4 linked regions of the Tamandua tetradactyla genome follow. The protein of the gene in region 4 purifies or fractionates together with the protein of the main gene of each other region. This does not show direct contact. Links are inferred from orthologs where the notes say so. Each region holds a gene or a part of one and is shown on either strand. Other genes may lie near its edges.

Evidence for each region.
Region 1: the proteins of DDX39B (region 4) and MYO1B purify together in Homo sapiens (affinity purification with mass spectrometry, with the first as the bait; 3 studies listed by BioGRID). This does not show direct contact. The link is inferred for Tamandua tetradactyla from reciprocal best matches to the Homo sapiens genes DDX39B and MYO1B.
Region 2: the proteins of DDX39B (region 4) and CLTC purify together in Homo sapiens (affinity purification with mass spectrometry, with the first as the bait; 3 studies listed by BioGRID). This does not show direct contact. The link is inferred for Tamandua tetradactyla from reciprocal best matches to the Homo sapiens genes DDX39B and CLTC.
Region 3: the proteins of DDX39B (region 4) and DBN1 purify together in Homo sapiens (affinity purification with mass spectrometry, with the first as the bait; 3 studies listed by BioGRID). This does not show direct contact. The link is inferred for Tamandua tetradactyla from reciprocal best matches to the Homo sapiens genes DDX39B and DBN1.

What each region holds. Positions count from the first base shown.
Region 1 is NC_135329.1:165,006,641-165,014,428, reverse strand, and holds the start of MYO1B (unconventional myosin-Ib), read right to left. Parts: upstream 3,007-7,788; 5' UTR 2,816-3,006; intron 1-2,815. UniProt on the Homo sapiens protein: Motor protein that may participate in process critical to neuronal development and function such as cell migration, neurite outgrowth and vesicular transport.
Region 2 is NC_135332.1:40,809,951-40,817,416, reverse strand, and holds the start of CLTC (clathrin heavy chain 1), read right to left. Parts: upstream 3,006-7,466; 5' UTR 2,848-3,005; intron 2,838-2,847; exon of another isoform or gene 2,629-2,837; 5' UTR 2,562-2,628; coding exon 2,520-2,561; intron 1-2,519. UniProt on the Homo sapiens protein: Clathrin is the major protein of the polyhedral coat of coated pits and vesicles. Two different adapter protein complexes link the clathrin lattice either to the plasma membrane or to the trans-Golgi network.
Region 3 is NC_135346.1:59,234,135-59,242,110, forward strand, and holds the start of DBN1 (drebrin), read right to left. Parts: upstream 3,005-7,976; 5' UTR 2,863-3,004; coding exon 2,777-2,862; intron 1-2,776. UniProt on the Homo sapiens protein: Actin cytoskeleton-organizing protein that plays a role in the formation of cell projections. Required for actin polymerization at immunological synapses (IS) and for the recruitment of the chemokine receptor CXCR4 to IS.
Region 4 is NC_135331.1:87,132,437-87,139,416, reverse strand, and holds the start of DDX39B (spliceosome RNA helicase DDX39B), read left to right. Parts: upstream 1-3,974; 5' UTR 3,975-4,105; intron 4,106-4,209; exon of another isoform or gene 4,210-4,616; intron 4,617-4,892; exon of another isoform or gene 4,893-4,964; intron 4,965-5,416; 5' UTR 5,417-5,552; coding exon 5,553-5,763; intron 5,764-6,980. UniProt on the Homo sapiens protein: Involved in nuclear export of spliced and unspliced mRNA. Component of the TREX complex which is thought to couple mRNA transcription, processing and nuclear export, and specifically associates with spliced mRNA and not with unspliced pre-mRNA.

The sequences.
Region 1 (7,788 bases), on a different chromosome or scaffold from region 4:
ACTATTAAAAGCTATCATATCATACAGTGTGCTAGTTAAAGAATTTGGACTTTGGAATGAGATGGATTGGAGTTCAAATCTCACCTCCGCCACTTACAAGTTACCTACACAAGTACAGTGTAAGAAGCAAGTTACTTAACTTCTCTAGGCCTCAGTTGCAACTGTAAAATGGAGCCAATACCCACCTTATCAAGATGTTGTGAGAATTAAGATAACAATGTATGTAAAACCCTTTGCACATAGTAAGCACTTACTAAATGATGCCTGTTAGGTATTGCTAGGCTATTTAACTAAAATCCAAAAGCTCAGCTATTGAAAAGAGCAGAAGGGAGGGAGAAAGAGAGAAGACTCTCATCCAGAAGAAGGACAAATACCAAAAACATGGATGCTATATTCCGAAGATCCCTTCTTAGTCAAATATACCCCACCTCCAACCAAATTTCCCTACTAAGGTATAGATTCCTTCCCCACAGATGTCAGATTCTCCTCATTGTTACGCCTAACTGTGCAGCAACCAGGAAATCCATCTTTAACTCCAAGCTTGACAAAGTGATGATTCATTCCGTGAATGGGGCACAGCCTGTTGCCAGCTTTATTGCACAGTTGGGTATGGGGGCAGCCAGAGGCCAGAACACCAGCGATTTAAGAGGCTCCCCGATGAGGGTCTCCAGTAGCAGTAATGGACTTACACTTTGTATTTTGTTAATGTATATTACAATGAGTACTTGGGAGGAATCCGATTATGTTTTTTTTTTTTTTTACAAAACATAAATGAAAAGTCCAAAATGGTAAAACAACCATAACAAAAAAGTCACCCTCTGTTAGCTGCCCTGGCACAATGTTTGCCAGGCAGTGTATTACTTATAATGATAAACAGACTGCTGGTTGGACAACATTCCACTCCGACTTTACATCATAATGGCCCCTAAGGACAAGTACCACACTGCTTTTTAGCCTGGCCTGAAAATCTGACCACATCCCCTGCGAAAAAGCCAAACCCTCAGCAGTACACTGCACAGTTCTTTTCCATTACCACTTAATGGGCAGGAAACATTTTTTTTCTAGGAGTAAGCTCCTGATTTGCCTTCTAAAGTTAAAATGCTTTCAAACTTGGTTCATTTTAAAGTGAATGGCCAAAGGGTGGTTTAATAGTGGACACTCAGGTTTGCCAAAGAGGCAGCACTAAACCATTTCCCAACCCTCTCTGCAACAAGACTACTATAACTGAATGTCTCCTATATCTTCACCACGGTAATTCTAACCTTCAGTATGACTTTGGGATTCTTCCACCAATGTCCCATAGGCACAAACCATGAATGCCTGGAAATGTCAGCCTTCTCCCCGAAAAGTTTTGCCATTCAAAAAGCACACATCGTTCAATCCCCCAAGGCTACCAAAGTCAGCCAGTCCTCTTGGGTTTCTTGATTCAAATCTAGGAAAGAGTTCCTTAACAAATGCCAGACATATGATATTTAATTCTACCTCCTCCTAAAAAAAAAAAAAAAAAAAATGCCATTCACCCTACTAGTAAGTGGTTTTTTCTTATTCCAGACAATCCACACAGGGAGAATGAAAGCACGGAACACTTGAAAATCCCTGGTTCTTCAACTCTTAAAACCCTAAGGTTTGTGAGTGCAGTGTGTTTTCTGGGAAAAACTGTAAAAGGGTTTTTCAGCTTCAGCATTACACAACCTAATTCATTTTATTATTTTTTTTTTAGCAATGTCTAATTTTCTGGTGGTTTCCCCCCAAACATTCCGGGAAAATTGTTATGCTATACCATATTACAATAAAGAAAATTAAGTCAAAATTGATCCTATAACATCTGCCTTCTACCATGTGAGTCAGTCTCCACTGGCTGCACACAGGATCCAGAGGAACACACATACACACAAATACACTGATTCATGGCAAAAAACAACTTCTTTCATTATAACCAACAAGATTTTATTTCAGCATGGTAGCGCTTAGAACTCAAGGAAGCACACAACTTGTTGCAGCAATAAACGCTCGGCCGCAGCCTGAACAAAGCAATACAAGCAAGCTCCAGAAAGCCCTTGCTCAAAAATGTTGCGTGTACATAACCAACTCCTCAGTGAATTCTAATCACCCCCTCCCCAACCCTCTAGCTGGCCCCTGCACCCTCAGGGCTCCCTTCCCTAATCTGGTTTCCATTCTAGCCCCGCCCCTTCCCCTCCCTCTCGAGGACAGTGAATCAATCCCATCCCAGGCAGGAAACGCGACCTGGGGTAGCCCCCTCCGCAGCGGCTGAACAAAGGAGGACAGCGCAGCTGCACGCGCGGGGAGCCCCATCAGGTTTTCTGCCCTTTCTCCCGGCCGCCGCTGGGGCACGCCGCACCTGAACCCCACGCTCCAGACCAACCCTTTGTTCTCCCACCTCTTTCCTTCCCCGAGGAGAGCACACCAAATCCTTTCACAAAACCAGGGAGCCAGGAAATAACTGTGGGAGAAGGGGATGGCGCGGGTGTGGGTGAACAAGAGCAAAATCTGGTTTCCCTTCTGCTCACAGGTACTAGGCGGACAGGGCAAAGTAAGAGCAACTTGCTTTACAAGCCCTTCCTCTCTCCCACCCCCCCCCAAAGTATCTGAGGAGTCACCGCCACCCTGCACGATCTCCAGCGTGTGCGGGTTCTGGCCGCAACGCCACCTCACCCCATGAGCCGCAGACCCAGTTGACCCGCGCCCCACGGGGACCCCAGGCACAAAGGCGCGGGGCGTCGCTCCACTGCCCCTCGTGGGCCGTGACCGGACCTAGCGGGAAGGGCAGGGGACACAGGGAAAGCGCTCGCGCTACCTCGCAGGGCGCCGCACCGCCTCCTGGTCGTCCTCCCTCTCCTGGCGCTCTGGGACGTGGGTCCAACCCGAGGCTGCAGAGCTGCCGTCGCGGCCCCCGCGATGCTCCCGCCTGCGGCTGCTCGGAGGTAGCTGTCCCGCGGCTGTCGGCCGTTTTTTGCGCGCCCGGCGCTGCGACACCGCCTCCTCGCGCCGCGGCTGGGGATCCTGTGCGCGCTGGACTCCCGAGTGCTCGGCAGCGGCGGGAGGCGCCCGGCCACTCCCCTCTCCCCGGCAGGCAGAGGGGCCGGGCCGAGGGGCGGAGGCGGCGACCTAGCTGCCTGGGATTCGCCCCTCTCCGCGCCGGCAGGACCCGGGGGCCGCCGCCTCCAGAGCTTACTCACCTCCGGCCGCCCGGGGCTGGCCTCACAGCGCCCCCAGGTGAGCGCAGGCGGCAGCCAAGGCGCCTGGCAGTCCTAGGGCCCGCAGCCCGGGGGGTCAGCCTAGAAGAGGCTGTTTCGCCCCGGGCACGGAATGGAAAAGAGAGGGAAGGAGTGGCGTCAGTCCCAGCCCCGGTGGAACGCAGGGTCCGTCTGCCAGATTTGCTCCCGAACTCACGACCATCCAATTAGAAATTTAACAGTTGGGGTGGAGGGACAGCGGGCGGTCGGGGCTCTGACAATTAGAAACCAGCCTGGGGGGCGAATGCCGCAAAGAGCGTGTTCTCAAATTTTCCTCCCCCTAGCAAAAAAACCTCGGATACCCAAGAATTTCAGAACATATTAATTTAACTGAAAGAGAAAAAAAGTATCGTGAACGGCAAAATGTGCCTTTACTCCCAAGATTTTTTATTATCTATGAACTAATTTAATCTCATATTATGCTAAGTAGACGCTGGTCAGTTCTCTGTATTGCAGAAAAATAAAAGAGCTTAAAAGAAAGTTTAAATACACATGTATGTCTGATATTAGCTTGTGTAACAATCGACGGTGGGATGTTAATTTACGTGTTATTGGGGCATGTTGGACGGACCAGAGAATCAGGACCCCACTTTTCACTCCAGCCAGGCTCTTGCTTTATTGCAAAGTTTAGAACAAGCCACCTAATTGACCCAGGTCCTGGTTTCCTCATCCCTGAGGGAGGGAGGGCTGCTCATCCAAACTTACTCACTGGGGAGAGGTGAGGATTACCTGGCTAAGGTGTTAAAAGCACTATAGACACAGTAATTATTACTCATGAGTCTAACTACTTTATCCTATAATGAAATAAATTGCCATAAATGGAGCTAGGTTTAAATGAACTGACCTATATCTGGAACTGTCAGTAAAATGAGGTGAACCAAAGAATTCAGACCATATATAGTAACTCTGATCCTGGACAAATAAGGACCACAGGCACTGGGGTTTGTCACATGTAACCGGTATAGTTTAGAAAGGTGGCTCTTCCCCAGACCGTATCTGCTTGGAAGTGCACTGCCACTGATGGCCCCAGCAGCAGCACTGCAGATCTGCAGAAGGCGTGAGAGTTGTCTAAGCTAATAATTACCAGATGCCAAGCACTGTTCTTTTACTTGTTTAATCCTCACAAAATCCTGTAAGAGAAGTTACTCTCATGCCTTTTTACAGGTGAGGAAAGCCAAGGACAGGGAACTCTTCCAGCTAATAAGCAGCTGGTTTTAAGACATGTCCACAAATTCCTTGACACTCTTCCCATCAAGAAGTGGAGTCTAATTACCCTCCTGTGGAATATGGGCTGGTCTTAGTGACTCAGGTCTAAAGAATTGAATGCAGCTAAAGTGATGCTATGTGACTTTTTTTTTTTTTAAACACACCAAAGCTGTGTTTTATTTATTTGTTTTTTAGGGATATGCTATAAGTTTATAAAGAAAGTTGCAAAAAATGTAATAAGACTCCCAACGATGATTATTTCTGAGTTGTGTAAGACTTTAAACATAATTATAAAAGGCTAAAAACTGAAGGATGAATTCCTCCATTTTCCTTTTTCTAAAAGTCCGGATGGCTCCTCACATCAGGAAAGTCCAGCCAGTTACCACAGCTCTGCCTTAGTCATCCTCAGACTCGCTGCCTCTCCTGGTGGGGACGGAGCACTGCACTGAGGACAGTAATGCGTCTTCAACTGGTTTCTTAGGGTTTTCCTCCAGGTCTGTCTTGACACACCAGACTCCGACAGTTTCCATTCCAACTCGCCTCTTGTCAGGTTTATGCCGCCAAACACTAGAGCACCAATAAACTGAGCCTTAATGTCACCTTCAAGGCAAACAAATATTGTGGGCAGGGTCCTAGCAGGATAATTGGGTATGCAGGTAGTTGAAATGGCTTTGATAAATTTGACATCAGGAAACGTCCTTGCAAGTTCACTGATGGCGCAGAGGGGAATCCCTTGTTTGTGAAGGTGCAAGATTTACCCATAAGCCTTCACCAGCTTTGGTAACTTCTTGGACATAATCCTTTCCCGAGATCTCCAAAACTTCTCCGTATTTATTCCTCAGTTTAGTGGTTTTCCACTCAGCCAGTCTTTGCTGCCTGTACATCTCAATAGTATGTCCATCCTCCTCACTAAATTAATCTTCATTATCCTCCAGCTCTTCCAAAGTCATATCTTCGTAAGTTTTCACAACTGAATACTGAAGGACTCCCTTCACTTCCTCCTCTGACTCCCTTTCCGATTCTTTCAAACTTTCCTTTGAGGACAAGATGCCCGTTTTGCGTAAGGTGTCACTCCACTCGGTGTCCATATCGGAGTCCTGCATTGCCTCCAGTCCCTCGGGTTAGGCCTGCCACGGTGACCCCCTCCTACCCCCACTACTGGCATCTGAGCCCGGTTCATAAAATAAGATACAGTTTCCACCTCTCTCTCTCTCAGGACACTCACCGTTGGGACTCAGCTACCATGCTGGAAGGAAGCTCAGGCAACATGAAAGGTCACGTGTAGGTAGGTGCTCTGGCTGACAGCACCTGTAAGGACCAGCCAACAGCCAGCATCAACTTGTGAGTTAGTGAGACTTTAAGATGACCCCAGGCCCAGCTGCTGACTGGTCACACTGCATGAGAGACCCAGAGGGAAAGCAGCTTAACTGAGCTGAGTCAGTCCTCAGAACAATGAGAGATACAACAATACTAATAGAAATAATAGATTGGCATCAGAGTGGTTGTTATATAGCAATGACCCTCGGAACAGTGGCAGAGCTGGGATAGGAACCCAGGCAGGCTGACTCCACCCTGTCTACTACAAACTACCGGGTACACCATCTCTGCCTTAATAGCCTAGTGTGATGAAAATCCTGGAGAATCCACCCTTCACAATGGACAGTATATGGACCTGGCATGGTGACACATTTTCAACCTACTCCTCTATTTTGCCCATCTGATTTTAGGTTCCAATGTGATTGCTTATGATAGTTTGGCAGTAATGGGGCCTCTGACCTCGGCTATCCAGTCCAGCTTTTCAAAAATAGCAGAGATTCAGATGGCAGGTTCACAAAGACAAAATGTAAATAAATGGTTTGAATAGTGGGGGGAATTCTATGACCTCCTGATTTTGGAAGGTGGCCAAGTTTTAGGGAAAAGTAGGGAAAAAGTGCTGCTATTGAGAGAGTTGCTAGCAAGAAGGTTTTGGAACTCCTGGCTCTCAGTAAAGAGATAAGGAACTTAGATATGTAGGAACTGTTCTGCCATTAACAATTTGAAAGGACCATAAAAACTTATACTATAGGACCACAAAAACTTTAATATAAATCATGAAGGAAAAGCCAGGCGCAAAGTAAAGGTTTTCTTGTACCTAAGCTGAGGGACATTTATGTGATAATTATGTCAGTCTTTAGGGTGAGCAGTTAACTCGGTCTGGCTCTCATCTTCCTTCTTTCCTAGCACGCGAGCATAAAGATCCGGGAATATGCAAACAGATGCTTGGAACACCAGACATAGTAGAGACACTTGGAGCTTTTTCCCTGTTTTTCAGCAAGTTCAGAAAAGGAAATGTTAGAAACCAGTGAACGTAACCTAATAAATACTAAGAAAATGAACCAAGAAACTATCAGGATGAATAAAAAAAAATAAGAAAAAAACCCCAAACAAACAAATAATGGGGGGCCAGGGGTTAGGGGGTAAAAGAAAATTGGGTAGAGTGCTATACTAGTGGTCAGTGAGAGGGAGGGGTAAAGGGTCTGGGATGTATGGAGTTTTTCTTTTTTCTTTTTTCTTTCTTTTTCTGGAGTAATACAAATAATCTAAAAATGATCATGGTAATAGATACACGACTACGTGATGATATTGTAAGCTGTTGATGGTATACTTTGGATAAACTATATGGCGCGTGAAAATATCTCAATAGAAATATATATATTTCTTAAAAGAAGCTATCCGGATGCCAAAAATGTTTCTAGAGAAAAACCATTCTTCCCTTTTAAAAATGCCTAGTTTAACCTAGTTTTCATAAATTTAAAACATCCAACCCCCTAAAGACATACCATGAGGTTTTAAAATACTTCTACCTTCCTGATTCTTCTTTTCAAAAGTCAATCAATCAACAACTTTTGAGTTTGAGAAGAGCAGATTAAAGTTGTTCTAACAGTTGTCAAGAATAGATAATAAATCCATCAACCACAAAGGCATTTTTACTTTCTCCTCAGCCTGTTTGGTAGAAATAGGATGAATACAGGAGCAGAAAGACTATTATTAAGATTTGAAAGTGAAAAATATAAATTATCAAATTACAGGAGTAAAAGAATATAAGTAGGTGTGATTTTACCTCAAAGAAAGCATGTAATAATTCAAATTAAAACAAGTGAAATCTTGCCACCCTTGTGAAAAATATGGAAACAAAAGCATATCGGTGTGCATGCTAGCAATAGAATTAACTCTAAGCGTTTGTTACTGTTTCTTTTTTTTTAGTTGTTTTTATTTGATAAGACAAAGAAAGCTCTCTTTTAAAAAAAATTGAAAAGAAATTCAACCTTGGGAAAAGATCATTGAAAGA
Region 2 (7,466 bases), on a different chromosome or scaffold from region 4:
CACTGCTATCAGCCTAAACATCCTTTTAAAAAAACAAAACAAAACTTCCTGTATAACTTAGAATATAAACATTCATTCAATGTAGGTCCAAGCTTTGATTACAGATTCTTCACCTGGTCAATATAGGTAAAGGCTATAAAATAGGTTCATTTGTCTTTTGAAACTTTAATAAGCTAAAACTCTACACACAAGTTCCTCATTTCTTGTTCCCAGTTTTTATCTTTAAGAAAGTTTTTTTGCTACTTAGCAATAGAAAGACGCTCAGAGGTCAAGGACCAAAATTGTTAATTAAAATAAAGGAGGAGATAAAAATGGGAAGTCAGGAAATATATTATCCTGGAAAACTTCAGTGATTTGAATCTTTGCAGTTAATGTCAGCTGGAGCCACAATCACACTAAACTTAGGCACTATGTATCTCTCAAAAAATGGATAGCTGAATTTGAAGTATATTTGCAAAGCTACTTTATTCTCAAAATCTTTGAGTAGAAAATGGCTTCACTCAAGTATCTGCAGAAACATGGAACCACTTAGAAATCAGGAGTGTATCTAATGTCTTCAAACAGCAGCACAGTTGGGATTCTAATCTCTAAGGTCACTTAACAATTCTCTCCTTAATAAAAATGAAAAACTATTACACAAACTACCACCAGTCAATGAAGAAGATGTGCTAGTGGGCTGTACCCCTACCATGTAAAATAAACAGCAACTGTACTTGTTTCTCATATATGGTCTACCAAACATTTGTGTGCAAAGTCATGTTTCAGTCGTACTTCAGTATAAGGATGAGCTGTGTTTTCACCTCACACTCCAAAACAGTATTTTTCTAACCCTCCACATTTATTTACCACCCCACTTTTAGAGGTAACCACAGTAATTAAACTTGGATTGAGAATGAAAAGTAACTTCTCCATGTCCATCTATCACTTAATATTTTTGTAATCTTTTGTAAAATAGTATGTTATTGCCAATGTATATTCTATTACCTCAGATGAGTTATTTGCAAACTATTGATGACTGAAGAAAGTGCACTAATTCATTTGATGTGTAAAATTTTATTGTTCATTACATTTCAAGTCTTAATGGAAAAAAACTGTTTGCTGATGCAAGTAAATGAGAACACCTGTAAAGAAATATGAAATTATGTTACTCATAGCCTGAAAAATAAAACTTTTATTAACAAGGATTCTTTATGTATGCTATAAGAATGAGAGAAAATAAATAAAATTGCCTTCCAATGGAAAAGTGTCCAACAGTTTACTAAAATTAGTGTATATTCTGTACCACTGTGTATTCTATCACTATGAAACTAGTCTTTCTTCAGAAGACTGACCTGGTTTCTTTAATAGGGTATTTGGGAAGTCAGCAAGTTAGTATGAATGAATTATTTCAGCCAAAATGAACACAAGTAGAAGCAGGATTGGTGAACCAGGAAGTCAAAAGCTCTGAAAAGAATTTCATCTAATCCACTAAAGGATCATCTGCCTCCACTGCCATGGGCATGATGCCAGATAAGACAACAGTATGTGGCTTTCAGAATAAGGCATAGTCAGAAGAATTCTGTAACCTACCAAAGGGCAGTCAGTTACAGACCCTGGATATCTTGAAGCAGGTATGCACTACCCCGAGGGCTCTGTTCCATTCCATGCAATCCTGGAGGAGGAATTAATGAGAAACCACAATATCTGCTAAACTCCAGCAGACCTCAAAATAACCTCCAGATAACTCCTTCTAACCTCCTAAAACCAAAAAGAGGCTTAAGTGCCACACCTCACCTAGAGAAAATGAGAAAGAGGGGGGAAAAAAGGCTAAATTCCCCTAGGAACCTTGACCCTATGCACCCTGAGATAGACACCGCCCTGAGAAATACGTTTTCACATTCTACACCTTCTGTGACCTTCTGTTCCCACTGCCTCGCGGAAGGCAAGGAAGCCGCGTCTCTCCCACCGCCAGAAGGTACCTCTTCCCTGTTAAGAACCGCAAAGAGAGGAAGAAAAAAAAAGGTTGCTCCTCCCTAAACCACCCGCCCCACAACTCCAAGGTGCAGACACCACAGAGGAAAGGGAGATGAGCAATGGAAGGTGACAGCACTGCACTGTCCCAGGAAGTGATGAGAATCATTGCCGAAAGAGTAACGCGGAATAATCTGCCTCATTCCCCCACCCCACCTACCCAAATGAATGAACTGAATAAAGGGCGGGGGGGAGGGGAGTGGGGACACGCAGTTCTTGCGATTGAGGAAGCAAGACAGACAGGCCCTGGGAACCAGGCCTGGCCTCATCGCCCTTTGCATCCCGAATCTTGTCCTTTCCATCCAATCCCCAAATCATTTCTTAAAACCTTTAAGCTTTCCAAGATAGCGTCCCCTCCTCCATTTACTCCACGCTCCAACATCCCCCACCCCCCACCCCCACCCCTCACCACCGACCCAACTCTTTCTGCTTTTACGCCCACTCTACAGCTTCTTCCTTCCTTTCTACCAACCCCTCCGCAGCCCTCACCAGCCGGGAACCAGACGCACCTGGAGATGCTCCTGAAAACGAATCGGCAGAATCTGGGCCATGGCGCTGTCGGGGGATATGGTGTCCTCCTGTCACTGGGGCTGTAGTGCAGCGACCGCCCGGACTCTCCTAGGGAGAGGAGGAGAAGGGGGAGGGGAATGCCGGGTTCAGGAGGATACTCTCCCGGGACACAGGTAACTGGCTGGCAGACGAAAGAGCTCGGGTCGGGGGCGGAGGTTCCAGGGGCCGGGAGAGCCGCAATGGCGGAACCGAGCGCAGCGCAAACTCCGGAAACGGCTGAGCCTTGCGGAGGGATCCTGGCGACAGAACTCCTCCCAGTCGACTCACCCCCTCCTCCTTATGTACCCCTCCACGGAGTGCGACGGCACAGCACGGCGCAGGAATTCCAGGCGCAGTGCGCCGCGCTTCTCATTTACTGTCGAGACACTAGGATAAATAGAGGAACCGAGGGGACTACTTTTTTAGACTCATCACTTTCTCCAGCCCACTCCAATTCCTCCCCCCCTTTTTTTGCATTTTGCCACATCATGCGACTCGGGATGATCGACGTCACTTCCGTGGGCGGTTTGGGTTCCACCCACGTACTTCCGGGTGCACGTGATATTGTTAGGGAACGGTCTGCAGATAGCGGTCAGTACGGAAAGTGGGTTCTGGGGGAATGCGGCTCTTTGGAGAACGAGGTGGCGGTTGGTCCACCTTGAAGAAGTACGGGTGCTGCTTCCTTTCGTTTGGCACTCTTCTATTTAAGCTGGGTCCATTAGGAAGAGGACGTAACGTGGGTACATGGGCCCAACCTCCCGCCTTCCCCGTGACTCAGGAAAACGTCCTTGCAGGGCGCTCTTGGCAGCTTGCTGCGGCACTCCTCCCCCGCCTAGTTTCATATAGTAGGTGGTGTCTTATTTCCCCGGGAGCGGGGGTAGGGAAAATGAAATGGGTTTTTAAATCCCTACCCTTATACACACGCTGCTTTGAGGTTTGGAGAAACTGACGCGCGCATTCTAACTGGAACCAGTATTCTCCTTGGGTGTTAATTGGCTCAAAAGACAGTGAAGGCCATTTAGAAGTTTTCTCAAGCTGGCCTTGTAATAGTTTTTCTTACCGTTTCTGCGGACGTTTTGGCGGACATATATCCTAGTTTGGCAGTCAGTTTGTCGTTAAAGAGTGTGAGTTTCATAAATAACCTGGAGGACTGGACAAAAAATTGTAGCGAAGGCATTTTTTTTTAGCCATATCAAATAATTTTTTAGACTTAAGGATTTAGATAATTAGGCTAAGGATGAAGAGTCTTCCTCGATGTAGTTAATGTACACTCTTGGAAGAAAGGGATTAACTATAAGCCGTGTATTTCGGTAGGGCCACCTCAACAATGCTTGTAGGTTAGCAGTGTTTGGGAATTAAGCGCTTCAGAGCCTTAGCATCGTTTCTTCTCATAAGCATTAAAGCATCTGTGGCGTTCGTTATCCATTAATAATATCCTTCCCACTATTTTATTGCTGAAGCATAAATTGTAACGATATTTCGCAATTTCACCAATACAGTAAAGGGTAAAATTATTTCGTCCAGTGCATTTCAAGTTTGTAAGAGATGTATTTTGTTTTGTTTTCCCAGAAAAAATCTTGAGGAAAAGCTCATTTACACAATTATCTTTACTACTATTTTCAGTTAAAGAACACAAAACCTTATCGGATAAAAAATTTTGGTTTGAATATTAAGCAATATATAGAGTGAAAAACGTTTCGTTAATCGTTTTAGTAGCGTCTAGCGTTTTGCCCAATATACTAAATAGCTCCCATACTGCAGATGAGATGAATATCTTTGGCAGGTGAGTGAGCAGAGACTGTTCTGCAAAGAAAAGCCTTGCCATCATGTTGTAACAATATTTATGCTTGGCAAATTTCATTTTGTTTTGTTTAAATCGTTGAATTATGCTCTATTCTGCAACATTTGAAAGGACCTAATACTAGTCTAATATTAATCTGCTTTTAAATCATTTTTGGAAATAGACAAGTTTTAAATTAAAATTTTTTAATTCCAAATTTAAAAGGGAGTTTTATTGCACTCAAATTGCACTCAGCAGTTTTATCAAGTTATACTTGCAGTCTCATAATTTTGTTATACACGGAGCTATGTATCATATATTGGCTATCATTTTTTATTTTAAGTACATTTAGAATCCCCAAATCATTGATTGTATCATAGATATTTGGCATGGAATATCTAACCAAAAAGTACACTGAGGTTCTGTTAAAGTGACTGCTGTGTTATCATCGTACATAGAAATCTAATGAATGCATTGTTTTCAGAAATCACTTAAAAGAAAAAAATAAAATTGTAATCTAACATCTCACTTTGTAATATTTCAGCTCATATCTTTCAAAACAATAAATTCAAAGTTTTTCAAGAGGAAAAAGGTCCAGATGGTAAACATTAAACAAAAACAACTATTCCTTTTAAAGATCTAATTGGAGTGGGGGGTGGGGGGTGGGGAGTAATAGGAGATGCTTCATTTGATAGTATGATCTTGCTAATGGTGTGGAGGCAGCAGTTAGGTGAATCGTTGGATTAGAACCCAGAAAGGCTGATAAATTACCTTAGCACCCCTGCAAGGCATTGTTTTCAGGCACTACATTAAGCTAGAAATGAGAATAGATAACCTAACAAATCAATGAACACAAACCCAGCTACCCTGATTTTTTTTTCCAACATGACATGGTCTTTTAAAGGACTATTGCTGTGAATGAATTAACACCCCAGACTTCTGGTTCCATAAAATGTTTTAGTGAGGTAGCCATGTTAATAAAATAGATGGTCAAGTTCTTTCTATCAGAAGTTATTTTTATCAGAATGTTCATAATAGTAGGTACGTGCTGTGAGCAAGTGCCATTACATTAGCAAAACTATATTGGTTGGCCTCTCTATCTCTGTCTCTCTGTCTCTGTATTTGTGTGTGTGTGTGTGTGTGTGTGTGTGTGTGTGTGTGTGTGTGTGTGTGTGTTTTGTAGGAGTCCTCTGAAGCTATTCATCTTTAAGCAGCTCTGCACTAAGACCCGTGCCTTTTACATTGACATTTTAAAAACAGCTTGCGCTAGCTGCATTGTGAAAGTCACAAAAGCATTTCTCAAACATTAAAGATTAAAGCCAAATTTTAAAATTAACCTACTATTTATGAGAATTCAAATTCTAGTGAAACCAAAGAGATGTACTTTATAGCAAGCAACATCCAAGTAAGATAAGTGGTTTTGACATTTAAACAACAGCTTTAAACATCTCAGCCCGCTAGGGCCACTGATAGGAATCCCACCAGGATTAAGCGCAGTCTCTATCTTTTCAAGTAAAATAAATGTTATCAAAGGCCAGTGAGAAAATGAATATCCCTTCGGCTCAGGTATCATCAACATACAGTACCCACAGATTTTAACCCTGGACAAGTCATTGAACAAAGGCAAAACTACCCCACCTCACCCCACAAAAAAAGAATAAATTAAGCATTTACAAGCAAGAAAAAAGTTGTAATGGCCTTTTTATTTTAATACGAAAAGAACCTCAGCATATACTCTTGACCTCATTCACTACTCAGGCTTGACTTAAACCTAATTTACATCAAGTTTTACAATGTATCATGGACAGCAATAGGATCTATAGGGAGTCTTTTCTCTGTATAGGGATTAGATATGTTCCCAGTCAAAAGTCAAGAATAGCCCTGTGGGGAGCTAGCCTGGAATCTAGGCTCATTGTTTAGACCCCTCCTCTATTTTTGTATAGGTTAAATCAGATCCCAGCAGAGGGTTGAAGTAGCTCATAACATTACCTTAAAAAGTCATCTTGGAAAGTTATCTACATCAATACAGATATCTACATAGAATTATGGCCCTAATAAGTGAGTTGCCAAGTCACATCCAAAAACAAAATTACAAGAAACTTGAAAGGATCTATAGAATGAAAAGGCAATTTCACCCAACTGATAGTGGCAACTGAGGGTGAGGCTGTGGGAATGATTGTTACGGAGTTTGGCGGGTTTTTTTCTCTTTCTCTAAATATGTAGAATGGCCTCTTTTCACCTCCAAGAATTATTACTGTCCCCAGTTGAAAGCAAGGCATGACCCACAAATATGTACCTTCAGCAATTGTGAAATTTTACCATACCATTTAAAGATAGTTCTGCCAGTAGCAAGGCACATTTTCAGCCTTATTATGTTAGTAACCTCAGTTCTTCAGAACAGAATGGTTAAGAATTGAGATTGGTAGACAAATTTTTGGCTAACAATAATAAAGTTCCAAGAATAGCTAATTTACTCCTTCAACATTTTTTAAAATGCTCAGTGTAAAAATTTTTGAAAAGGCCTTTTGTAAGTAAGTTGTATATGTGAAAGTAATTCTGAATCTTGAAGGCCTCAGGTTCATCACTGTGAACAGTTTTTATATAGTCATCCTGAAAATGTAGAAGCCCAATCTGAATATCTGCCAATCCTAGAACACATTAGAAATTATTTTTAACACCTTATTTCAACCTGTCATAACTGATAAAAGTGGTTTATCTAAAATAAACAGAAAACCTGGTTGTTTACTCTTCCTGTTTGCTCATATACTGAATAACTGAGTTTAATGTAGTACAGCATATAACCATACAATTAACTTCATTCCACAACACACCAGTGATGAAAAATATGTAATATTCATATGAGGCTGTATTTATTGATTTAAACTCTGGTTTTTCCTTTTCTCAGTTACCATGATAGCACCAAGAGTCATGAAAAGTGTTTTAGGTTAGTTCCACTGATCATTCAAATATGAAGATTTCCACATAGTGAAAATAAGAGCTAACCTGATGCAGACAATTCTTACAATCTCTATATTTTAGTTACTATCTAACTGAGCCACTAGATCAGATGTGGAGATGAGAGCATGCTCATCATTACTAAGGAAGGCTTATAAATTCTGTTTCTTTA
Region 3 (7,976 bases), on a different chromosome or scaffold from region 4:
ATTGTGTTTGAAATCCTTCAGTCCCTGGGGACTCAATGCCAGCTCCTGGAGAAACCCGGCCCTCCCACACCTCCAAGAGTTATCATATCCCACCAAGGATCTGAAGACATCTGAACTCACCCCAGATCCCACTAGACCAGCAGTGTTTCTTAAACCCATCAGAGGCACCCTGGGGTGGGTGGGAGTTGGCAAAAGCACAGGGGATCAGAATCTGAGAAAGCCCAGGAATCTACCCATCTCACCAGGTCCAGCCACTGGAGACACTGCCTCAGAGCAGGCTTTATGAAGACAGGAACTCTGACTCAACCAATTAATATTGCTCTCTGGGTCCCGAGGTCCGGCCCAGCAGCGCCAGTAGGTGTTTGTGATATTGACCCAAACTCTTAGAAACTACCTAGGCTAGAGAAACTGGACAAGTGAGGCAGTAGCAGTTCCAGGGAGATCCTCGGATCACCAGGGGCTGGGAAGTGCTGAGGTGGGGCTGGGCCTGTCAGGACTGCCCACTCCATTGCACTCTCAGGATGTTAGGGCTGTAAAGGCCTTAGGAACTCTAGATTCCTAAGGAGGAATGAAGTGGAGCCCAGTCTCTCCTCCAGAGGACCAGAGAAGGGCAGGAACTAGTGGGTGGCCACACAGCGAGTCATGTCAGAGGCAGGACAATGCTGGCGCTTCCTGCTACATGTCCTGACCTCCTGGGACCCCTGGTCTATTTCAGAGTGAGATCCTGCCCCCCACCCGACACACACACACACACTCAACAGGCAAGGTAAGGGTGGGCACTGCCAAACCTCCTTTGTCCAGACAGCAATTTCACCCAAGACAACCCTTCTCTGGCCTCTGCGAGGAGGATCTTGCCCCCAAGTCTTGCAGTCCCACTGAACTTCTGACTCTGGGCTGGGTGTTGGGGGACCCCCATACCCCCCTCTGCAGGATGTAGTCCTCACATCCTTTTTGCAAAATGCTACCCAGACCCCACGGTGTGAGCAAGCATGTGTACGTGCTAGGGTACGTGTGTGCATCTGTGTGTGTGTCCCACACACAACCCAGATGGGGGGTGACGCACACCACTGATGAATAACTCGCTTTGGCCACATGGATACTGCCGGGTGGTGGGAGCCTGAGCAGAATGCAGGGCAGCAGTGGCTGTGTGGCTGTGGCACCGGGCTGCCAGAGCTCTGCTTTTGGGGACTCAGGGAGAAACAGGCCCCAGATTGGAGGGCGTGGGGTGTTCTGAGATCAGATGTGCCTCTCCCCAGGCACGGGGGCTGAAAGGCAGGGCCGGTATCCCAAGGCCTGCTCTTCCACGGGGCCAAGCCGGCCACTTGCCCTGAATTGCTCCCATGATCTCAGCCCCCGGGGACAGGGCTGGGATAACGGGTGGGCTGCCCGCCCTCTTCGCCTGCGCTGCCCTCTCTCCTGTGACTGACCTGCAGGACACGAGAGTCTGTCTCCCGCGTCCATCCCTCCAGGCCTGGCTGCCCGCCAGTGCTGCAATGCCGTGGCATGGACGCCTGGCCATTTTATCCCCACCTCCAGCCCCCAGGTAGGGGTCCCTACCCAGGGTGAGGGTAGGTCCAACCCAAGGAGGCCCCTCAAACCTGCCTCACTCTATGCCTCAGTTTCCCCAGGGGGTAGAGCCTGTTTCCTGACTGCTGGCAAGGGAAAAAAGCCTCGGGAACACGGTGGGCACCTGCCCGGGGAGGAAGAGCATTCTGGGGGAATGATTCCTCGATGGGGCACAGTGAAACCTCTCAGCTCCCTGCCAGCCCCGGGGGCTCCAGTCCCAGAGCAGGTGGTCCAGCCCCTCCCCCAGCTCAGGGGCGACAACAACAGCTGGGAGGGTGGGGAGAGGGCGGCCCAGCCCCACCCCCACACCAAGGGGGCAGAGTGCCCCTTTGGTGCTGGAGGGAGGGGCTAAGGGGGTCCCAGTGGAGGAGCTCACCCCCGCCTCTCTCACTGAGGGCTCCCTCTGCATTTGTGGGCCTGAGGGTTTCCTCCAAGCGACCCCAGCTGGCCCCCTCCCCTTCCTATCTCTCAAGCCAGCTGCCTGGTTCCTGCAATTCCCATCAGGCTGGGGAGAGAGGGGCTCGTCCCTGTCTCCTCCACGCCCCGTGAAGGCAAGAGGAGTCACTTCACTCTCGCCATGTGGCAACAAACGTCATGCCATCGCACCTCCGCTCAGGTGTTGGGGGGTGGGGGCAGCCAACGCAGACCGGCCCCCCCCAGTGGGCGGGGCGCCCCGGCCCCCGGCCCCACTCCGCTCCTCCCCCGCCCTGGGTTTCCTTTGTGCTGGGGCCGGGCCGGGCTGAGCCACGTTAGCTCGGTCCCCGCCCCGTCCCCGCCCGGCCCTCGCCCTCTCGAAGGTGGCGAAGGTGCCCTTGGCCGCCCCGCGCACACCTGTCCCACGGGGTCCGGGGTGGGGGCCCTGGAGGCAGCGGAAGGGGCGCCCGCGGGGCCCTGGCGCCGTCCCCCCCAACCCCCGCCCCGGGCCACACGCCTCGGGACCCCGCGTCCCTCCGGCCCGCGGGCGCGGCCACCTCTCCCGCCGCTCGCCCAGGGCCGCCTCCGGGGAGCCCGGGGCCCAGCTGCGCCCCGCCCGGCCCGGCCCGGCCCCTCCCCCCGGCGCGCACAAAGGCAGCCCCTCCCCGGCCCGCTGCACCATTTCGGGGTCTCCCCCTCCCTTCCCGGCGCTGGGGCGGCGGGCCGCGAGGGGAACAAAGGCGCGGCGGCCGCGGCGCGGGGACAAAGGGGCCGGGGGCGGGGGCGGGGGGCTCACCAGTCGGCCGCGCTCTCCTCCCGGATCACCTCCTCGTAGGCCGCCAGCAGCTCCAGGCGGTGGCCGCTGAAGCTGACGCCGGCCATGCTTCGGGCCGGACCGAGGCCGCACGCACAGACGCACAGACGGACGGACGGACAGAGATGGGAGGGAGCGACGAGAGGGGAGAGTCGCCGCCGCCGCCTCGGAGCCTCTGCAGCGTTGCGAGCCGAGCGAGCCAGCGGCCGGGGGAGGGGAGCCGGCCGGCGGGGGGCGGGGGGCGCTGGCTCCGCCCGGCTCCGCTCCCTCCTCTCGCTCGGTCCTAGCGCCGCCCCAGCCCGGCCCAGGGGGAGGTCCGCACCCCTCACCCCCCACCTTCCCGGCGTGCCCCGGGTGCCCCCCCGCGCCCCTCGCCGCGGGGCCGTGCGCGCCGCACCCCGGGCTCGGACCCTACCCCTGCGGTCTCCTGTCCCGGCCCACCCCCGTTCAACAAAACCCTCCCCTACCCCATCTCCGACCCGGGGACCTCACCTTCTCTCCCAACCCCAGCCCTGGCCCTGCCGTACCCACATTCCAGTCGCCACCCCCCACCTCTAGCCTCACTCCATCCCTCTCCTGGCTCTCCCCATCCCAATCCCAAGGCCACTCGGTTCCAGTACGATTCCAGCCCCTTGCTGATGTTCTTGCTGTCCCAATCTCACCCCCACCCCTGGTCCATTCCATCCCATGTTAAAGCCCATTCCTATTCCAAATCCCGAATCCAGCCCAATTTCCATAGCAGTTCCTGCCCTGCCTCATCCTGGAAAGGTCCTCTCCTAGTCCATTCCCATCACTTTCTGAGGCCATCTGCATCCCAATCCCAAATACAACCCATCCCACCTCTGTTCCCAACCCCTGGCTTAGCACCTCCCTTCCTCTCCTGGTCAGCCAAACCCAGCTGCAACTCCCTCAGTCCTGTCCTGGGCCCAGTTCTCAGTCACAGGGCTCCTGCCTCTGTGACTGGGTCAGCCCCAACCTCAGCTCCGTACTGAAATGGCCATCATTCCCCATCTCTCACCCCATCCATGCCCCACCTCTATCAGAAGCTCCCCATCCCTGGCCAGCTAGCTCCTCTGCTGCCTTGGATGGAGCCTGGCCTAGGATATCCTTTGCCTTCTCTCCCAAGCCTCAGGCTTCCCAGAGGAATGCCAAGTAGAGTTCCGGAAACAGCAGCTAACCCCAGACTCCCAGGGCAGGGCTCCTCTAAGGATGCTACTGGGCCAGCCCCTTGGCACCTTTGTTTCCCAAAGCTCTGAGCACAGAAGGGCTGGGCTTTCAGAGAAATCTCCTGCAGGGTCTCCTGTACATCTCTGCTCCTCGCTGGGGCCGACTGGTGAAACCCTCCCCAGCCCTCAGAAGCCTTTTCTACCTCCCGCAAAGCCTCCGAACCCCATCTCCCAGGGGAGGGGTGACAAAACCGGAGCCGACCTTACCTGCTCCGGAGCAGGTCTCAGCTGGCAGAGGGATGGGGTGGTAGGTGGCTCTAGTAGGTCCTCCAAGTTGGGTAATCTGCCCCACTGAGAGAGAGAACAGCCTGTACATTTATCCCCAGCAGCGGTTCCCACCGTTTCAGAGTAGGAGGAATGCTTTTCAAGCTCAAAACATGTCACAGCCCCCCCACCCCCACCCCCCGAGGTGGGGAATGCTTGATGCCCCCTGTGTCCATGGACCCCCCAGTCCTAAAAGTTCTTCCACGGCCCCTGCTTGGAGTGAGGCCCACCTATAGGAAACCAAGAGCAATGGGGCGGTTGCGGAGACAGTGGAGTGGGTGACATGGCCGGGGTGGAGGCTGGGGGGGCGGGGGGGAGGAGCGACCAGCCACAGGGGTTTGGGGAGGGGGACCTGAGCTCCAGCTTTCCTCCATCATTACATGATTAGGTATGAAGAGGGGGATTTCTTGGGGTAGAGGAGGAGAAACTGCACTGCAGGGTCCTGGGAGACACAGGCAAAGGGTATCTCCATTCCCTTCCTGCTTCCTTTGACTTGTCCTAGCTCAGAACTCCTCCCACTTCCCTCTTCCTGGCCCCATCCCCGGCCTCCGAATCATCCTACTTTGCTTCCAAAAAAAGGAAGCCCTGTACACCCTGCATGCTTTCCCTTCCTCAAATTGCTGCCCTCCCCACCTGCCACCTACAAACTCTACAGCCACACCCACTTTCACTTCTTGTCATCTATTTTTTTAAATCAGTATAGTTTATGGTTTTATTCTATTAGATATCTTTGTAGTAATAACTCCCTCCCCCCGTTTAGAGAAGTTGTGGGTTGACAACAATCATGCATAATATATAGCATTCCCATATGCCATACGACCACCTCACCCAGCATTAGTGTGCAACATTTGTTATAACTGATAGCCCATTTTAATAATTGCTCTATTAATTAAAGTCCATGGTTTAACTTAAGGTCCACTGTGTAGTGTAGTTCCATGGATTTTTTTTTTTAAGTTCATTCCTTTACCATATATGCAACCTAATGTTTTCCCTTTTAATCGTCAGAATCAGCTATATATGTCAGTGCTGTTAATTGCGTCCACATGTTGTGCCACCATCACCACCAACCATTATCAGGACATTTCCATCATTCCAAATAGGAGCCATCTGTTTTTTAAATAAACTTTTTTTTTAATTTTAGGAGAGTTATATTGCGACGATAATGCAGAGTTCGCATAGACCCCACACCCAGTTTCCCCTGTTAATATTCAGGGGGGAAGGAGCGGGTTCCTGGCTCCCAGGCCCTGGATCCCCTCCTGGCCTTCTTACCCTCCTCCCTTCCAATGTTGTCTCCGCTCCACAATTTGTCTGCTGTCATCTGTCTCCCCGTTCCCCCGTTTTCTCTCGCACTGCTCTGGTCAAGATCACTACTGACCCCTAAATGGCCAAATTCAGATGCCTCATAGCCCTTGGTTTCCTAAAGTCCCCACCAGCACTCTCCTCTGCCGAACTGTCTCCCATCAGCCCGTCCCCGGATCCCAGACTCCCAGACTCGGCAGATGGGGGTGGGTATCTGTTTGGAGATCCTCCCATCAGGCTTTCCTGTCCACGGTCCCGCCACAGCAAGGATCACCCTTCAAAGTCCCTGATGTGTCATTCCCTCCCACACATACTCAGAGGCTGGACTGTGGGTGCTGGGTGCCCAGAGAGCTGGAGTGGGGAGAAAGAAAAGGCAGGAAAAAGGAAGGGCTTCTGAAAGTTGGCATTTGGTTCCAGAAGCTGGTCACTTGCTGAGTGACCTTGGATAAAGCACTTCCCCTCTCTGAGCTTCCTCGTTGTTAATGTTGTGGGGATAAAGACGTCACTGGATAGGGGCTGAGGAAATGAGAATGCTCCCTCCTCTCAACCCCACTTCCTTCGTCCCACTGCACCCTTCTCCTTTCAAGCTCCTACTTGCCTGTCGGCCTCAGGACTTCTCCAGTACTGGCTACCTGGTGGAACCTTCTCTGCCCTCATCCTGCCTCTCCAAGTTCCCTCCGAGCAGCTCCTCCCAAAGTGTTCCTTCTTCTCAGGGTAATGATGCCCATGGTACTTCCCATGAATTGGGTACACAGTACTGGGCTGGCCCCTTTAACCACATTAGCTCCTGTCATGGTCAGGTTCATGTGTCAACTTGGCCAGGTGGTGGTACCTGTTTGTCTGGTTGGGCAAGTGCTGGCCTGTCTGTTGCCATGAGGACATTTCATAGAATTAAATCATGATCACTCGGCTGCATCCGCAGCTGATTCCATTTGTAATCAGCCAAGGGGAGTGTCTTCTGCAATGAGTGACGTTTAATCAATGGAAGGCTTTTTAAGGAGGATTCAGAAGAGATAGTTCCTCTGTTCCTGCTTCGGCCGGCAATCGGCCGGCCAGTCTCTCCTGTGGAGTTCGTCCGGACCCTCCATTGGAGTTGTCAGTTTCACAGCCTGCCCTGCGGATTTTGGACTCTACCTTCCCACGGTTACATGAGACAGTTTTATAAATTTTATATTTACAGATATTTCCTATTGATTCCGTTTCTCTAGAGAACCTTAGCTACTACAACTCCATTCCTGGCAGGCATGTAGCTGCCATCAACCACCAGAGACCTTGCTAGCGGTGGAAACTTAAACTGGTTGCTTGATCTCTTGCCTCATCTTTATTGACTCTAAAATGAGGATAATAATTGTGCTCTCTACCTCTAGCTTCAGTTTAAGGGTTGTAAAACAAGATCTCAAGTGCTTAAAACGGTAGCTGCCCAGAGTGGATGGTGTGTGTGTGTGTGTGTGTGTGTGTGTGTGTGTGTGTGTGTGTTGGTTGTTATTATTGGACTGATAGGAAAACGGAAGCTCAGAGAGGAGCAGTAACTAGCCCTGGGTCACACAGCTAACTAATGGCACCTTCTGGATGGGATCCCGGGTCTGTCCCATGTCACTTCAGCACACTACACCCGATCTCCCTGTTTCCCCTGCTAGCTTGGCCCATTTTCTATATCTGGGGCTGGCCTGGCCTGGACTTTGGGTCAGAAGCGGTTCTTTAGGCTAGATGGGGTCTGGGGGAGGAGTCGGGGCGGGGAGCGGCTCTGGGACATGGAGGCGGGGAAATGGAGGGTGGACCTCCAGCCCAGGCCTGCTCAGCTCCCACACCCCACTGTCTTCTGGCTGATTTTCCACCATAGGGCTCTAAGCAGGAGCATGTGATGGCCTGGGCTGGGTCCCGGTGATGGCCTGGGGATGGGGGCTGGGGAGTGGACACGTGACCCACCGGCAGTCCAATGAGCACCAGCCCTGGGGCTTTTGCTGAGCCATCAAGAAAGGTGGCTGTCTAAGTGAGACAAAATAAAGTGTCAGTGGCTGAGAGATTCCAAACAGAGCCGAGGCGTTATCCTGGAGGTTATTCTTACACAATTATATAGATATCACCTTTTTAGTTAAGGTGTAACTGAGAGGCTGGAGGGAAGTGCCTGAAAATGTAGAGCTGTTTTCCAGTAGCCATGTTTCTTGAAGATGATTGTATAATGATATAGCTTTCACAATGTGACTGTGTGATTGTGAAAATCTTGTGTCTGATGCTCCTTTTATCTACCTTATCAACAGATGAGTAAAACATATGGAATAAAAATAAATAATAGGGGGAACAAATGTTAACATAAATTTAGTTTGAAATGCTAGTGATCAATGAAAGGGAGAGGTAAGGGGTATGGTATGCATGAATTTTTTTCTGTTTTCTTT
Region 4 (6,980 bases):
GAAATAAAAAGAAAACAAAAAATTCATACATATCATACCCATTACCCCTCCCTTTCATTGATCACTAGCATTTCAATCTACTAAATTTAATGTTTGTTCTCCCATTTATTTATTTTTAATCCATATGTTTTACTTGTCTGTCGATAAGGTAGATAAAAGGAGCATCAGACACAAGGTTTTCACAATCACACAGTCATATTGCGAAAGCTATATCATTATACAATCATCTTCAAGAAACATGGCTACTGGAACACAGCTCTACATTTTCAGGCAGTTCCCTCCAGCCTCTCCATTACCTCTTGACTAACAAGGTGATATTTCTTTAATGCATAAGAATAACCTCCAGGACAACCTCTCGACTCTGTTTGGAATCTCTCTGCCATTGACACTTTATTTTGTCTCATTTCTCTCTTCCCCCTTTTGGTCGTGAAGGTTTTCTCAGTCCCTTGGTGCTGAGTCCTGGCTCATTTGCCAGGAAGGTTCACAGCCCTGGGAGTCATGTCCCACGTAGACGGGGAGGGCAGTGAGTTTGCTTGTTGTGTTGGCTGAGAGAGAGAGGTCACATCTGAGCAACAAAAGAGGTTCTCTAGGGGGTGACTCTTTTTTTTTAATTTATTTTTTATTTATGATACATAACCATATACAAACATTCTTATCGTATGATCATTCCGTTCTTGTTATAGAATCATTAACTTACACTATCATCACATAGTTGTATATTCATCATCACGATCATTTCTGAGAACATCTGCATCAATTCAGAAAAAGCAGTAAAAAGAAAACAAAAAAATTCATACATAGCATACCCCTTACCCCTCCCCTTCACGGATCACCAGCATTTCAATCTACTAAATTTATTTTAACATTTATTCCCCCTATTATTTATTTATTTTTAATCCATATGTTTTACTTGTCTGTCGATAAGATAGACAAAAGGAGCATTAGACACAAGGCTCTCCCAACCACACAGTCACACTGCGACAGCCATATCATCATACAATTAGAGAGAGAGAGAGAGAGAGAGAGAGAGAGAGAGAGAGAGAGAGAGACCACATCTGAGCAACAGAAGAGGTTCTCTTGGGGGTGATTCTTAGGCCTAATTTTACATAGGCTTAGCCTATCCTTTGTGGGGTTAAGTTTCATATGAACAAACCCAACAAACCCCAAGATTGAGGGCTTGGCCTATTGTTTTGGTTGTCCACACTGCTTGTGAGAATATCAAGAATTCTCCACTCGGGGAAGTTGAATTTTCCTGCTTTTTCACCATTCACCCAAGGGGACTTTGCAAATTCTTTTTTATTCACTGTTCAGATCACCATGGGATTTATTGGGACATCACTCTGGTTAGACCTACTCAAGGTTCCATGTACTGTGGTGCTCAATTAAGCTGTCCACATAAGTTATATTAGGAAATGCACTAGTCAAAATATAAATTTTGTACCAAATAAACATTTTTTGCTTTAGTCTCACACATAAGTTAAAGTTTTAAAATATTAATTACCATCTATTTTCAACACCCTGCAGTATTGACATTCCTTTGTTCTTCCTCATGCAAAAACATTTTTTAATTTGTACATTTAGTTACTATCATTGTACAATCTAGGCTTTCCTGGATTATATCATCTCAGTCTTTATCATCTATCTTTCCTTCTGATTTCATTTGTACCCCCAGGCCTCCTCCCTCTATCATTCTCACATTCAGCTTCACTCAGTGTTCTAACATTATTGTATTACAGTTAAGTAGTATTGTGCTATCCATTTCTGAATTTTTACAATCAATCTTGTTGCACAATCTGTATCCCTTCAGCTCCAATTACCCAATATCTACCCTATTTCTATCTCCTGATGACCTCTGCTCTTAACTGAAATTCTCCAAGTTCAGTCACTAATGTTAGTTCTTATCAGTGAGACCACACAGTATACGTCCCTTTGTTTCTGGCTAATCTCACTCAGCAAAATGTCCTAAGGTCCATCCATGTTGTTACATACTTCATAACTTTATTCTGTCTTACAGTTGCATAATATTCCATCATATGTATACCACAGCTTGTTTAGCCGCTCGTCTGTTGATGGACATTTGGGCTGTTTCCATCTCTTGGCAATTGTAAATAATCCTTCTATAAACATTGGTGTGCAAGTGTCCGTTTGTGTCCTTGCCCTCATGTCCTCTGAGTTGATACCTAGCAATGGTATTGCGGGGTCATATGGCAATTCTATACTTAGCTTCCTGAGGAACCACCAAACTGCCTTCCATAGGGGTCATACCATTTGACATTCCCACCAACAGTGGATAAGTGTGCCTGTTTCTCCACATCCTCCCCAGCACTTGTTGTTTTCTGTTTTATTGATAATGGCCATTCTGGTGGGTGTGAGATAATATTTCATTGTGGTTAAAAATTAAAAAAAAAATTTAAAAAAAGCAATAAATTTCAAAGCACACCACAAGAATTAGTTATAGATTTCAAAGTCTGGTTTGGGTTACAGTTCAGAATTTTAGGTTTTTCATTCTAGCTGCTCCATGACACTGGAGACTAAAAGAAGTATCAATGCAATGATTTCAGCACACTTATTTGTTAAACCCTATCTTCCCTGTTATAGCGCCTTCTTCTCCTTTGATCTTTCTCTCAATCGTTAGGAGTATTTCCACTATGCCCATTCTAATTTTTTCATGTTGGAAAGGGTTGTCGATAATATGAGATTGGGGGATGGAACAAGTTATGTTACAGAGAAACTGGCCCCTCTGGGTTTCAGGACTTTTCTGGCCTTGGAAATCGTCTGGAGGTTGTAGGGTTTCTGGAAAGTAATCACAGTGCATGGAACCTTTGTAGAATCTCAGATAAAGCCCTAAGTTTAGGGTTGGCAGGAATGGTTTTGGTTGGGGTTTAGCAAACCGGAAGACAGGTCTGCTTCACCACCTCACTCACCAATAAGGTAATCAATCCATCGTGTAATTATTAACCCCTCTCCCTCTTTAAGAGGTAGGCAGGATACAATGGAGGTAAACAGACAGGTTCTGAAAGTGTCCACATCCTGGCTCTGCCACGTTACTAGATGTTACTTTGGACAGATTGCTTTACTTCTAAAAGCCTGTCTGCTTGTGTATAAAATGGGAATAGTGAGGTTACCCTTGTTATCTGTGATAACAGGTAAAGAGCTTCTTTAGTTCAGGGCCTGGCCAAATGATTGTAGTCATTTTTGTTAAGCAGTAGGACATCACGTTTAACTTCTGTATTATTTCAGACGGGTGTCAAATGTTTCATTCAGAAAAAAATCCGGCTGAACAATGGGGCTGGTCTGTGTGTGTCTGTGGCGATGGTGGGACGACTAAGAACATTCTGGTCGAGTTAATAATTATGGAGTTTTCTGTATCTCTCAAGCTCAGGGTAGAATCTAGACTCCTATCTTCCATTCAGAAGATTCAAGACATCCTTCTGATTTTCAACCCCGTCCATCAACCTCAAGGCCCTTGAAAAATCAGCTACTGCGACAGCACAATTCTGGGCCAGTGTCTCCCATTCCTGCCCTCCGATTCCACCGCTGGGGAGTGGATAGGGCTAGGACTCCTGAGCACTATATTTCATTCCAGTTCCTTAGACCGCCTCTCCTATCCCTAGCAGGGGGCTTAAGCTCGTAACGCGAGCTCAGCCGCCACCAGGTCACCTTGATGACCGGGCCAAGGACCCCGTGGGAACTCACAGTCCCCAACGCTCTCACCCATCAAGCACCCACGATGTAGTGCCCAGAGAGAAGACCTGTGTGACAAGAACCTAAAAAGAGAGACAAGGGACGTAGAGAAGAGTAGGACAAGAGAGAAAAGTTAATAATGGGAGGGGATATTGGTTTCCGTCATGCACGTTACTACCCGCAGTAACCGAGAAATTAGAAGTGGCGTCTTAAAACAATTTTAGACAGGCTTTTTCCAAAGGCAACCTCCATGCGTGCGGAACTATAGAATCGCGGAAGGGCCTTCATTCGCTCCCGTGCGCCTGCGCGCTGACAGCCGAGAAGGCGGGAGGACGAGGAGAAGGAGGCCGCCGACCGGAAGTGAAGGCAGATTCTCTTCTTCGTAGCTGTTGCCGCCGCCATACGCGCCCGCCCTGGTCAGGTAAGCTTCGGTCTTCGGTATTATCCACCTCCATCCGTACTTTTTTCGCAGCCATTTGGTCTCTTGGGCTCCGGATAACTATTCCACAGGTGACAGTCTTGTCGCCGGGGCTTACTTGGATCGTTATTTCCGTTTTCTGCGTCTCTTTTGAGAGCAAAGATCTTTTGGGGGGAGGCCGGAGAAGCTGGGGGTGGTGGTGTGCAATCCAAGATGGTGGCCCCGGCGCCATTGTGTTTCTTTTACTTTCGGGTCCTCCTTGGGTGTCTGGCTTATCAGAGGCCCCAGCTCTGATATGAAAGAGGCGGTGCTAAGCCTTTCCTGGTTTGGGCCATTTACAGAGGGCGGGGCGCTTTTCAACTTCCCCCTTTCCCCTTCTCCTCGGGGCCCTCTTTAGGCCCGCGGAGGCAACAGGGATAGGAGCCAACTTCCGGCCTCTGGTGGATTTTTCTCACCTCGACTTGCCTGCCCTTACTTGAAATACTTTCCAAATGTTTACGAATGATGTCATTGTGTAAGTGTTTCTCCGGAAGGAATCTCCCTTGCGGAGTAGTACAACGATGATGTGTGGCCATTTGGTGAAGGTTCTATTAAATTTGGAGTGAGGGTACTTCTTTCCCGTTTAATAATTAGCATCTCATTCAGCGTATGATAGAGAGATGACTTTTTTTTCCCCTGACTGAGTCATTTCTTAACCCCCGCCATTAATTACACATTGATTTTTTTTTTAAGTGGCAAAAGGAGGGTATTCAGGAATGAGGGGCTGGAGAAATCTCGGGGGAGGATGACAGCCACATGATGTTTTTCATTTTGAGCGCTCTGCGCCTTGATGACCTTTATCTATCACCCTTGACTGATGGCTGCTGTCTAGGAGGTTCACACCTTGAGATAATAGGGAAAGCACAAGGTCTTGCCTTGAGGACTTTTTAGGAATTTTCATCTTCATTCTCTATACTCCACCCCTCCCCCATTCGCTGTATTTTTTTTTTTTAATTATTATTATTCGTTTTCCCTTACTATGTTACTTACCATCTAGAGTTTATAACTGGTCTTCCTCCTCCAACTTCCTGATTTCTGCAATTCTGATCCTAGTCATGCTGGCAATCTGTGTCCTAAACGTATGTCCTGGAACCATTTTTTCCATTCCTTGTATTATAATTGCTTTTCACTTTTATGTTTTTTGTGTGTTTTCTTTCTTTCCACATAAAGGCTTCATGATTTAGGGAAAGAGAAGGATGTGGGAATGAAGACTTGAGGCTGTGAGGGCTCTACTCATGACTGATATCTTCCATCTTTATTTTTTTTTTTCCCTAGCTCTTCAGTCAGAAATTAGTGTCTTCCTTTTCCTCTACTGTTCCCCAGTCCTCTACTCTTTCTTCCTTGATTTCATCTATTCTGCCTGAACCCATCTAGAGACCCCTCCTCCCCTTCTACCCCTGCCGGCCCAGTCATGGCAGAAAACGATGTGGACAATGAGCTCTTGGACTATGAAGATGATGAAGTGGAGACAGCAGCTGGGGGAGATGGGGCTGAGGCTCCTGCCAAGAAGGATGTCAAGGGCTCCTATGTCTCCATCCATAGCTCTGGCTTTCGTGATTTCCTGCTCAAACCAGAGTTGCTCCGGGCCATTGTTGACTGTGGTTTTGAGCATCCATCAGAAGGTAATTATTCACTTGGGCATAGAGTCCTCATTCGTTGTGCTCTTTAGAGCCACAAGAAACATGTGTTTATGGTTTCCCAGGTGATAAGGTTTATATATGGGATAGGCCAAAAAGTAAGGAAGTACTAAAAATGATTTTAGCAATAGAAGAGATTTGCATAGATTAGTCTCATTCATGGTAACACGAAAGTGCTAATGATCCAAAAGTAGCATAGAGATCTGTCACTTTTAAATTTGTTATTTTGATGAATAAAGGTTGGTTGGACTTTTAATCCTCCTATCTTGGGGCCAGTTCAGAGCTCTGGAAAACTTTATGTCTGGTCTAAAGATGACTGGTTTCAAACACCAACCAAATCCATTCCTGTCAACCCTAAAGAACACTTCGGGCATTATCTGAGATTCTCAAAGTTTCCATGCACTATGATTACTTTCCAGAAACCCTACAACCTCCAGATGGGTTCCTACGCCTATTAAGTCCTGAAACCCAGAGGGGCTGGTCTCTTTAGAGTGTCAGCTAGTCCGTTCCCCCTGTCCCATATTATTGACAGCTCTTTCCAACATGAAAAAATTAGAATGGGTATAGCTCAGATACCCCTGAAGACTGGGAGAAGGATCAAAGGAGAAGGTAGAGTTATAACAGAGAAGATAGGTTTTAACAAATAAGTATGATTGCTGAGTCGTTAATTGATATTTCTTTTAGTCTCCAGTGTTTTGGAGCATCTAGACATAAAAATCTAAAATTGTGGAATTGTAACCCATACTAAACCCTAATATCTGTTCTACAACTAATTTTTTGCAGTGTGCTTTAAGATTTATTGCCCTTTTATTTATATGTTATTTTTCATAGTAATTAAAAAAAAAAAGATGGCTGGCTTCTGGGTCAGGTACCAAATCCGTTTTTTCTGAGGTTGCAAGGTTATGTGACTCAAAGCATGGCAACCTAAGTGGGAGAAAAGGCACTCAAATGTCATGTATTGTTACAGGTTAAAGGAAATAAGGACAGAGCCAGTAGCACCAAAGGTGAGCTGTTTCTAGGTGCAAGAGGGTTATTAGTGGCACTAGGTAGTCTTGGAGCTGGAGGAGCCAGGGAGGTGGTTTGGGGATGAATGTGATTGAAAGGGCCTGAAAGTTGACAGGAACCAAGAAAGGTCCTTGGAAACTTTTTTTATTTTGTAATATAACATAAATACAAAGCAACGAAGGAAAAAAGTAATAATT